2 linked regions of the Arabidopsis thaliana genome follow. The protein of the gene in region 2 purifies or fractionates together with the protein of the main gene of each other region. This does not show direct contact. Each region holds a gene or a part of one and is shown on either strand. Other genes may lie near its edges.

The links.
Region 1: the proteins of CHR38 (region 2) and NRPD1A purify together in Arabidopsis thaliana (affinity purification with mass spectrometry; 2 studies listed by BioGRID, with this or other methods). This does not show direct contact.

Annotation. Positions count from the first base shown.
Region 1 is NC_003070.9:23,359,310-23,364,192, forward strand, and holds the start of NRPD1A (nuclear RNA polymerase D1A), read right to left. Parts: upstream 3,179-4,883; 5' UTR 3,128-3,178; exon of another isoform or gene 2,995-3,127; intron 2,884-2,994; 5' UTR 2,839-2,883; intron 1,831-2,838; 5' UTR 1,818-1,830; coding exon 1,734-1,817; intron 1,651-1,733; coding exon 1,530-1,650; intron 1,433-1,529; coding exon 1,311-1,432; intron 1,231-1,310; coding exon 1,192-1,230; intron 1,105-1,191; coding exon 886-1,104; intron 810-885; coding exon 657-809; intron 569-656; coding exon 473-568; intron 423-472; exon of another isoform or gene 393-422; coding exon 1-392. UniProt on the Arabidopsis thaliana protein: DNA-dependent RNA polymerase catalyzes the transcription of DNA into RNA using the four ribonucleoside triphosphates as substrates. Largest and catalytic component of RNA polymerase IV which mediates 24-nt short-interfering RNAs (siRNA) accumulation.
Region 2 is NC_003074.8:14,755,295-14,762,152, forward strand, and holds CHR38 (chromatin remodeling 38), read right to left. Parts: upstream 4,792-6,858; coding exon 4,743-4,791; intron 4,629-4,742; coding exon 4,396-4,628; intron 4,300-4,395; coding exon 2,884-4,299; intron 2,780-2,883; coding exon 2,636-2,779; intron 2,547-2,635; coding exon 612-2,546; 3' UTR 504-611; downstream 1-503. Other genes in the region: AT3G42660 (transducin family protein / WD-40 repeat family protein), read left to right, coding at 15-407. UniProt on the Arabidopsis thaliana protein: Probable chromatin remodeling factor. Required for the initial establishment of DNA methylation and for accumulation of 24-nt siRNAs.

The sequences.
Region 1 (4,883 bases), on a different chromosome or scaffold from region 2:
ATCAGCACAGTGTCTCCATCCATTAAACTCCGGAATATTTTGTCTCCGGTTTGGAGGTCATTGACTTGAATAGCCACCAATCTATCTCCTCTTCTCACATGCATCTCTTTATTGTCCAACAGTGTGGGGACAAAGGAAGTGACAAGCCTTTCTTTATTGCACTGGTTGAGATGCTCTGATACTTGAAGCCTTTTTGCGATACTCTCGGGTATGCCAATCTCGTTGAGCTTCAAGGACGGATCACCAACAACTACTGTCCGGAATGTATGATCACTTCTTTTACCGAGCAGCACGTCTTTCATGAACCTTAGACCGCAAAGTTTTGGTGTATCAGACTTCTTCTGGTACGGATTTGCGGAATCTTTACTCGAAGACACAGTTTCCGAAAAGAGCTGTGCAAAAAACAAGAAATACTACTAACCTTCACAGAACAGAAAGAAGAGTTTAAATCTATCAGGAACCACTAACTTACTCTGGAATATTGCATGCATTCCATCACACGAGAACTCAATTCAAGTGTGTTTCCCTCAAAGCCGACTAGTTTCTTGTAGATCCGAGTCCGTTCATCCTTCAAAAATGTGACAGAAACTCGAAAAGATAAGAGAAATACCATAGTATATGATAACAAATTATATAAACAAGCGTTTTTAGCTTACAAATATTAGCCGAGCTCCGTTGAACTGATGAACTATTTCGGTTACACGGTAACCATTTGGTGTAACAGGAAAAGATGTCAGACCAAGAGAGTTGAACATAGGGATATCCTTCTTGATGAGCCTCTGATCAATCCCTAATAACAGAGCATAAACCTGCAAAAAGGTGAAATTTTCAGAAAACTATATATAGTAAGAAGTCATGGAGATGGTACATTTCACTCTTCTATACCTGTGCATGCGTTATTATTCGCCTTGTTGGTTTCAAACAGCTCTCGTCGATATTAGAGTCTTGCGGCAAAAAACTCCAATAGTCAGGAGGCAATGTTAACACTCCCCGTTTCTTGAGTTTCATCAGACTCTCTTCGTTTACTTCAACAACGATTCCGGATCGCCTGAAGACTTCTTTAGTAGTTACCCTAAACTTCATTAGAGGATAACCGGTATTCAACTGATATATAACAACAACAAAAACCGAAAATTAGTGTTGGAACAAAGTTTTAAACTGAGAAAATTAGTTGCAATCATATATTCTTACAGTGCAGTATCTACATCTCTCAGGCTGGTCTTCGGTAATCTATATCAAGCAAAAATGACATTAGTATATGTAGTTCCAAAACACACAAACCAACAAAGGATTTGGAAAGACTAGTGAACCTGAAACTGCTTTTTTCGAATGTATTTACACCCCGGACAGATTTTGTTTAACAACGCAGCTACCTCCTTGAGGAAATACGGGTTTATTATCGAGTACGCGAAGTTTATAACCCCGAAATGCCCTAAAACAGAGAGAAAAGTAGCAAACTCAGGGAACTAATCATAAAATGAGCTAAAAGATTGGAACAATATTTGCCAAAACCAGATTCTTTATGATACCTTCGCAAACTTTTCGATCTTTGCTGCCACAGGTTCTGCAGACAGAATCCGGATTCGGTAATCCTAGCCGAGAATCAGTCACCTGATTCGGTGCTTCAACCTCTAGCACAGACATTTTATCCTATAATAAAGTACCATTACATTAAATATTTGCTCCATCTACTCATAAACAAATCAAGAAGAATAAATAAGGACAACACTTACTCGATCATTGTTGTTTGAAATGCTAAAACCTATCGAGGTTAGAGTTCCCACGGGAACCTGAAGCTCCTCACAATCGTCTTCCATGTTGAAGAGTTTCCTACAAGAAAAAAAACCATCAGTAAGGAAAATTTAGATACGTAAGTAAAAACATCAGTTTTTATAAGCAAGTTTTAGTGACCAATTCCAATGTGCAGAATATGAAACAAAACCAATATTTAGCATTTAGACAGACAAAACCAAAAAACTCGCTCTGACCAATACTAACCACTGAGAAACAGACAACTTCACAAACTATCTCTGTGAGTGGCCACTTAGAATCTAGCATATATCCAAAGAAAAGAGAGAACATGTTCAGGGAAGAAGATTCTAGCTCAAAAATATTTGACGAACACACAAAATAGTTCAAACTTTGAACACACATTATTGAAAATTAACACTTACTTCTGTAACATAAAACAGAGCTAAAACTCACGGATAAATCGTCGAAAAGATCAGTTTCTATCTGTACCCTCTATCATCAAATCTAATGTGCAGCAGAATATGAAACAAAAACCAATCTTTAGCATTTCATTGACCAGAACACAAAAACCAAAGCAAACTCTCTCTGATCAAAAAATTGACCAAAGAGAAACAGACACTTTTGTTAAGGGACAAAAGTGTTACCACAATCTTCCTCTGTGACTGGCCTATCAAAAACAAGTTATAGATTCGAAATTGAATTTACTAATAGAATCTAGCATGAACCCAAAAAAATAAGAGAATACATGTTCAGAAAAAGAAGAAAGAAAAAAAACTGCAGAACATACACACAAAAAGGTTCAATCTTTGAACATACACTATTCATGGATTAAAAAAAAAAAAATTCACTGACCAAAAAAAAAAAAGGACAAATTTTCCAAATGTTCTTCTAAAGGACTCACACAAACCCTTAGTGCAAAAACATTCGCCGCCTTAAGATGATCTCTAAACGAAAGAAATCGATTTCTCATAAGAACATGCATAAACCAAAGTACTTAACTTTTCACAATCATCCAAAGTAAACAAAGTTCATAGAAACAAAATCGGAGTTCAAAGACAACGATCGATCAAATTTAAACAAAAGAACCGTGATAAGGAATCAGACACAGTGATCAATCAAAAAAAAAAAGAACTCAAATTGTTTCAAAGAGATAAAAAGAAAATTACCGAAAAAGGTTTTAAAAAAAAAAACGAAAGAAAAACCAGAAGAGAATTGAGGAAGAACAACAATGTAGTTACTTACTCGTTTCGTCGAACAGAGAATCCTCACTATGTAATGATCCAATTGAAACAGTGCACAGACAAAAACTTCTGATCCTTAGCTCCGACGGAAGATGCCGGAGAAGAAGTTGAAGAAGAGACTCTAAAGAAAGAACAAAAAAAAAGAGAGGAAAAAAAAATCGAAATCGGAGGCTTTTGAGAAGCCGCCGTTTGTATTCCCAAAGGAAACGGGAAAAAGTGAGAAAGCAGAGAAAACGAAAAAAAAACTCTTCTCTAAGTCCAATGGGGACTTTGGAATGTGAGACACCAAAAAAAAAAAAAAAAGAAGAAGAAAGAGTGTAAATACCGAAACTACCCCTTGACCTGTACCTCTATTTACCTACTTTACGAGTACACCTTTTACCTTTTGGAAATCTTTTTACTTCCTCGGTTGTATTATTTTAATTACTTTATGATTTTCTGTTTCTGCGAATTTTACCTTATTTGTATAAACTCTGAAACTGGGAAGAAAAGAAAAAGTTGAAATATCCTTCCTTAAGTATATTATATTAGCTGTATTAGTTTTTTACTTTTGGCCTAATTTTAAAACTGACAAAAAGTTATTAGAATAATTAATACTTTTTATTAGTTTAATGTAATATTTAAATAAATAAAAATAAGTGTATAACTAAATTTTCATCTTAGCAAAAAAAAAAAATCCTAGTGGTTTTTATTTCTAGCTTGATTTTTGGTTCATAACTATAATATGAATAGCGGGAAAAAAAAATATAATTTGAACCAAAAACAAATTCCATTTCTTTTCTTATATGATTTTGCGATTTTTCTAAATACTAGTTATAATCTCTAAATAATCTAAAATTACATAATTATACGAATTTATTTGTGAAGTTTGTGTTAGTATCAATCAAAGTATGATATGTAAAATAAAATTTTGTTTTACGTATAGTTGAGGCTATAAATTTGTTATCTTTGATTCGAAACATTTATATTTCGTTAAAATATATTTTTGTTCGATAAAAAAATTATGTGTAATTAAAATATATTTTTTGTTTGAAAAACAATTACAATTAGTTAGCTGCTTAGACAATTATCATATAATTTTATAAGAGGCGAAATGTGATAAATAACTAAATTAATTGAGACAAAAATAGATTAAAATTTATAAGATCTAGAATCTTATTTGAGAGTATGTGAATGTCCATTAATAAATCAAGATATATAAGTGAAATCAGTTTTTCTTGTCGGCGACGTGAAATTAGATTCTTGTTTACGTGAAGTTCACGCTTTCGTTTGTAAAACAGTTACATAGTTAGTTTAGTGGTTATTTATTAAAACAGTTTAACATATAATTATTACTAAAATATACTCCTTCTATTTAAAATTAGTTGTCGTTTAAGGTTTTTTGTCGGCGGCGTGAAATTGAATTTTTGTTTACGTGAAGTTCACGCTTTCGTTTGTAAAACAGTTATATAGTTAGTTTAGTGGTTAGTTATTAAAATAGTTTTGTTTAAAATTATTTGTCGTTTAAGATTTTTTGCAGTGAAAATAAAAAAAAACAATTAAATTTTCTACTTTACCCTTGTTCAATATAGTTTCTAAAAAAATTATTGGTCAAGACATTAATACTCACATTTTTATTAAACATTTGCATTAAAAAACTAAAAACGATAATTATTGTGAGATTAAATTTAAGTGCTAAAATGATAATTAAATTAAAACAAAATGAGTATTTGTTTTGAAAAACATGTAGTAGAATAAACTAGACTTAAAAATGTCCCAGTAAATTTTCTTATTAACCTTATAAACTGTAAACATTTGGGGTAGTCTAGTTAATAAAACTATTTATAATGCCAGAAATAAATAAATAAAATTGTGAGAAAAACTATTATTGAGTTTGACAACTTGATGACC
Region 2 (6,858 bases):
TTCTTCACTAACAGGAAAGGTTGCTTGAAGAAGCTAGCGAGGCGGCGGTAACAAATCCTGCGCTGAATCCAAACGGAGAAGTAGTTACAAGAGTTGAATCCAAGGTCCAGAATCCTCCAGCTTCGATTCAGACTAGTGAAAACACAGAAGCAGTTATGAAATCTTCTGCAACTAAGCTATCTGCTCCTACACTTCTAAAGAAATCGAAAGTTTCAGAAGGTCTAAAGCTGGGAAAAGAACAAACAAAGAAAGACAAAAGTGACGATGCGAAGATAAAAGAGATAAAGAAATTGAATTTGAAGAATCCGGTGAACAATGTTAACAAGGAAGACAAGGGACAGGAAAAGGAAGTGAATCAAGGAGAAGCTCGACGTTCTTCAAACCCGTTCCTCAAATCAACTGTTTAATGATCTTATTTGGAGGTTTTGTTTTATTTAACAAGATTATGATGAATACATCTGTTTCACTTTATTAAATATTATGATGCTATAGCTGAATGATTACACAAACTTATGATACAGGATTAGTTTATATTACAATACAACAAGCTGTTAAAGAATCATCATCAAAGGCATGGTGAAACAGAAACTTGAACTGGAAAAATTCAGCAATCAGCCACCTGTTGAAGCTTTCTCGTTCTTCATGATCATATGGAAGGATTTGACTTTGTCTTCCTCCACGATTTCTCTAAGAACATCGTCCTCAATCTTCTCAGCTTGCCATTGAGATGGGTCCTCCACAAATTCTTCACTGAAAATCATACTGGAGACCCATTCTTTCCAGGTCGTCCTCCTGTATTTGTCTTCTTCAAGTGTTCCTCTCGACAAGAGCTGGTAAACGTACACCACTTTCTGCTGTCCCGGTCTGAATGCACGTGCGATTGCTTGCTTTGTCTTAGAAGGATTCCACTCTGAATCAAGCATGATCACCCGTGAAGCAGCGGTTAGACTGATGCCTTCTGCACAGGCTGTAATCGAAGCCAGCAGAACACGGGACTGGCCTCCTGGCTCTTCAAATTTGTCTATTACTCTGCCTCTTTCAAACAGCTCGAGATCCCCTGTCAAGGTCAGGAGCTCTCGGCCTCTCTTCCACCTGAATACATTCTCGAACAGCTCAAGAAACAGGCGGATCGGCGCAATGTTGTGACAAAATATGAGGATTTTCTCCCTCTTGACCACCCGGAACACAAGATTAAGCACAAACATGACTTTTGATCCTTTCTTTGCATCGTGCTTGAGCTTCTCAATCTCTAAAAGCTCCTGAGGGTTGAAGAATTTGGCGCAACAGGTTGTGGTTTTGACCAACCAAGGATGGATAGCAGCTAACGTTATGAGTAACTCGAGCTCGAGTGGATATCCATGGTAAGTTGACATTATGTTCTGAAGTTTGGTAAGACTCTTGTGCTGTACATCAGTGGAATTCATCAACAATGTGTAAATCTGCAAACCTGGGAGAACATCACCACTTCCGCTTCCACTCCCTTCATAGTTATCGATGAAACCACTCGTCATATTCCTCAACATGTTGAGACCCTGCAAGCGCTCATCGCCCACTTTTGTGTCAATCTTCTTGGCTATAATGTCAAGGAAGAACTTCCGAGCTCTATTTTCAAGCAAGTGAGGCGCCTTTTGCTCGGCTTGGTTGGTCTGGAACTTCTTGTCCAACTCCACTAGAACCTCATGAACAAACTTGGGTCTAGCCAAGCACAAAGTGTTGAAGTACTCACAGAAGTTGTTCTGAAACAATGTACCAGAAAGCAGAATCCTCAAGTCAGTATCAACTTTCATCAAGGCCTTTCGTAATCTCGACTTGGTACTCCTCGGGTTATGTCCCTCGTCTAGAACCAGTAATCCAGGAGACTCTCTCAGTACTTTAGCCATGTACTTTCTATGAGCAAACTTTGAATCTTCCCTCATCAAAGTTAGAAACGATGTGTAACCCATTACAAGAACACTCGGCTGTGCATGCCATTTCTGGATTTTGTCTAAACAGTCAAGAACATGCATAACATCTTGGCTTGGTTTTGGAATTCCCTCGAACTGAATGGTCTTCTCTTTGGACATACAGTAGGTTCTACGACCATGGAGCAAGTGAACAGGGACCGGAATCTCCCATTTGATGAACTCCTTGTACCAAGTGTACAAAGTTGTTTTTGGAGCAAGAACCAAAGGTCTTTTACCCGGAAATATCTTCAAGTAGCTCGCGAGAAAAGCTATGATTAGAAATGTTTTTCCTGCTCCGGGAGTATGAGAAACTACACACCCACCTATCTTATCTGAACTCGGATCCATCATCGCGGGAACCACTGACCCGGCTAGGTTCTTCCAGAGAAACTCAAAAGCTTTTTTCTGGTGCAAATGCAGTTTTCTCTTAAGCTGAGGTATTAAAGACCAGACATTGTCACTTTCTTCAGCCGATGGCATATCTGAGGAAGCAACTGGTATAGTGAAAGTATGGCTCTCAACTCCATCTTGGTTAACTATAGTAGTATTAATGTCATCTTCGTTGATTTGCTTAGTCTCCGTCGTCCATTTCTTGTGCCGCGCCTATCGAAAACCATACCACCAAAATATATTACAAGTAACTCATCGAAAGTAGGTGACAAAATGTTGTCTGGTATAGAGTTTCCACTTACAAAAGGTGCAGAAACATGTTTTATCTCAGTTCCTACATGACCACACAATCTGCAACACATTCCGATTTCTTCATTCAATTCATAGTCATGTTCACAATCACAGGTTGCTTTATGGAACGCCTCGTTATCCACTCTCACCTGAAACTTCAAATCAAACTATTAAACATATAAAAATGTAAGCTCATGGTCATCAAGAATGTTTTCAGGAAAATATAAAAAGATTTCCAAAAGGTATATATATATATAACCTCATGGTCATCAAGAATGTAAGAAGAAGCCAAGCATAGTTCCATTTCCCTCCATAGAATCTCATTCTCTGAAGTCTCGCCATCATCCTCCTCCTCCTCACTCAACCTTTCTTCGGCTTCGATCGAAAAGCTTGCGGGGTTCTTTAACCCTTGCCACTGCTCAACAACATTGGTTGCTTTGTCCTTGGCTGCAATTGTAGAATCAATTCTACTCATGTACGAGTCTATCAACTTGTTATACGCACCTGCGCTCAACGTTCTCTTCTTATAAATCTGCGGTTCCTCAGAAACTCCGGTTTCCCTAGAAACGGACCTTATTCGAGAATGCGGTCCATTTCTTTTATGAACCACATTCCCAATAGGTCCATTCCAACCTAGATCAGATTCCATCTCTTCCATTTCAATCTTCTTCTTCTTCTTCTTCCCGTATTTCGCTGCTTTACTACGATACTTATCGATCTCATCCATCAAATTTCCAGAGACACCACCACACAAACTATTTGCATTGAGACCAAACTGTTCCAACGGTATAGGTTCAAAGACAGGAGTGAAAGGAATAACCGAAAGCTCACAACTTCGACTAAATCCCTCTGTTTTCTTTCTCTTCTTCCTCTCAGTTTTGTCTACCAAAACTATCTCTCTCTGCTTATCCTTACTAAATCCCTTTTTGCTTCCTTTCTTTCTAAGTAAATGCGATAACGGTAAGTATAAATCATCATCAGTATCTTTATCATCCTCGCAATCTTCTTCTTCATCATCATCATCACTTGAAACATTCCATATGTTGTACCTATATGGCATCATCCTTACCCATCCATCCTTCGAATCCGGCTGAATCTCAGAGTCTCCGTATCTCTCAGGCCGCCCGCTTCTTCTCTTGGACCGACGCAGCTCCATTACCTCCTCTTCAATCTCCTCCTTTACATCACTATCTTGACAAGTATCCTCAGCTGGATTGAACAAAACAACCTTAGACATGACAACACCGTCTTCAACCGTAATGTTCATTGCACTCAAAGAGCTACTAGAGCCTTCGCAATCTTCATCCGTCACAATCTGATAAACCATCTTCTCGTGAACGGTTCTAATCTGAAACACAATGTTTTTCAAAACTGATGTAACAAGCAACCATGTAAGATCAGGCAAGAACTTCCCTAAGTTTAGTCTTGTTTTCACCAACGAAGAACAGTCCTCAGAGTATCTCCATCTATAGTAACGGTCCAAGCTTTGTTCCTTGCAAAACTTTTGAAGGATGGCGATTTCGTTGAGTCCCACGAGTACCGGAACTTTATTCATTCTATGCTTCTCCAAACCAATGCAGCCTTGGTCTATATAAACACTGACATGGAACGTACACAAGCATTCAGATTCATGAGGCTTCCTCTCTATAGATAAAACCCTTGCATCCACCCAAACCTACACCACCACACACACACACACACACAAAACGTTTCAAAACAGCAAAAATGCGCATAGATTTAAAGACTTTCATATTGAAGAAAGTGAATGTACTGGTTCTGGAGTCTCTTCATCTCTCTGATAAAGAACGCAAACATCGATACCGGGTCTTAAAAAAGAAGTACAGTCGATCAAAGTCGCCTTTCTTGATCTAATTCGAAGCCTCTGAAATGGTTTTATATCATCCAAAACTTGTCCATTTTCTAAGAGACGCATTGTCATCGTTCCATTCTCGATCCTTAAGTACTCCACGGCCTTCCATGTCCCCCAGCAGAACACCTCGAAAGCTACCACAACAGACAAAACAGAGCATTTTAGGTAAAGAAACAGCAGTCATTCAAATCTCAATGCATGACATTTTAGGTAAGAAAATAAAACATCAGATCTTGTAAAACACTTACGACATGGATTAAATGGATGGTTAAACTCAAAGTAATGCTTTCTCTTCATTTTTTTCTTTCCCTTCAAGATCACTTGTGGATCCACATATGATCTCCTGTAACCAATACATGTATAGCTTCATTAGGATTCATTCACCACTTGACAAATAAAAAAAAGATTCAAACTTTATCTGCAACTAGAGACAACCCAGAACATATATGATATATGAACTTTAAAACTTGATCATATTGGTTAATGTGCGAAAGCAACATTATTGTACTAAAAAGGTGTAAAACAGAGTAACAGTGTCGTATCAAAATGAAAAACGAAACATGATCGTCATCAACAACAAACAAAACCCAGATTGAAAAAACCACAACTTTATGATCAGAACACAAAATCAATATATCACCTTTGAGGGAAAAAGAGAGTTGATTCTAGTCCATGATTGACACTAAGAGGAAAATAAGAGAAGGAACAAAATATGATAAATAGAAAAGGGACGGCGAAGAATTCAATACCACACTCACGCAGAATCTTGGGGACAGTGTAGAACTTTTTATTTTCCCTTTTTGCATGAATTTGCGCAGAATCGATAAAAAGTGATAGAGAGAAATAAAGAGAGACTGAAAAATAAAGTGAGAGAAGAGGAGGGTTTAAGGAGTGAGGGTATTATTGTCATTTCCATGTACGTACTTCTTTATATGGGAAATAAACGGCTGCGATTTGGTCTGTCTTTACTATCTTTAGATTTTACTGACACAAAGAGTAAAAGCCAAGTTGTGTGCATGGTGGCCTATTGGGTCCACATTGAGATAGGTTTATAGGGAAAATATCTTACACAAATTCATGAACTTAACATTTAGTTTGCACAAAACAAAAACATTTACTTAGTTTGTTTTTTAATTATTATACTAAAATTAGTAAAAGATGAGTTTTTAATATGGTTTTGATATCAAAAAAGAAACTTTTATTTTTATTTCAAGATTCTAAAAGAAAATATCATTTAATATTTTAAAAAGTAGTTAAGGGTAACGGTGAATTGCTGTATTTTCTTTACTCCATTTCTAATTTTTTTTCTCTTTAGTTTTTTATTTTTCTGTTTAATATGTTGGAAGATCAAATATCTAGTTTTCTTTAGTAGATTTCTCTATTTTTGTTTATATTATTTTTCTATTTTATTTCTGACTCTTTTTTTAATTGTTGTATCCCTTACAAAGTTAATGCAAAACTGTTTTTTTTTCCATTAAATCAAACAAACACTAAAATATATAACATTTGGAAATGTAAATGATAGAGTTATTGTAAATCGTTGGATATGTAATGCTTTTGAACAAGGTCTATGTGAGCTTTATCTTATGCATAAAATATGAGTTGTTACCAGAATCTGCCTTAGTCACAAGCTAGGGAAGCATGTGTTTACGGTATAAGATATAGTTATTAATTAACCGTCATCTATTTTCCAAATATCTCTTATAACTATACTGGTTAATCGTTGGGTGATAGAACAATAGGTAGTAGGTTCAACTCTTACACTTACAAAAATGTTTTTTTTTTGATATGATTAGGCCTTTTTTGCTGGTGGCACTCAAAATGTTTTGGGTGGCTATGAATGTTCCATGATTTGATATGGATAGTAAAATATATAATGTTTAATAGAAAACTTTACTTAAATATCTTTTTCTCTTTTTAGCTTTAGCAACAGCTCTCACTAGAATCGAAAAGAAAATTATAAAATTTAGAGAATATATAGAAACTAACCTAAGACTCGAAAAGAATCAACGAAATAACCTTTGACTAAATGGACACTATTTGCTATATGTTTTTTTAAGGGTTTTTGGTTCATCTTATCCTTTTATTATCTTCTTCTTTTTTTTTCTTGTTTGTCTGCAACATTATAGTCATTCTCTCTCTAGATATCTTTTTCTTTTACTGAATCTCATCACCACCACATTCCTTTTTTCCTATCTTCCTCTCGTTGGATATGTGATTCCATCAATTCTCTCTTTCTTTCTTCCTAGAAGCTATCTTTCTTATCCCTCGTATATTTTGTGTTTCTCCTCTCACCGGATTTTCTCCATCACTCGTCAGTGTGACATATAAGATTATATATGATTTTATAAACGCATGTATTTC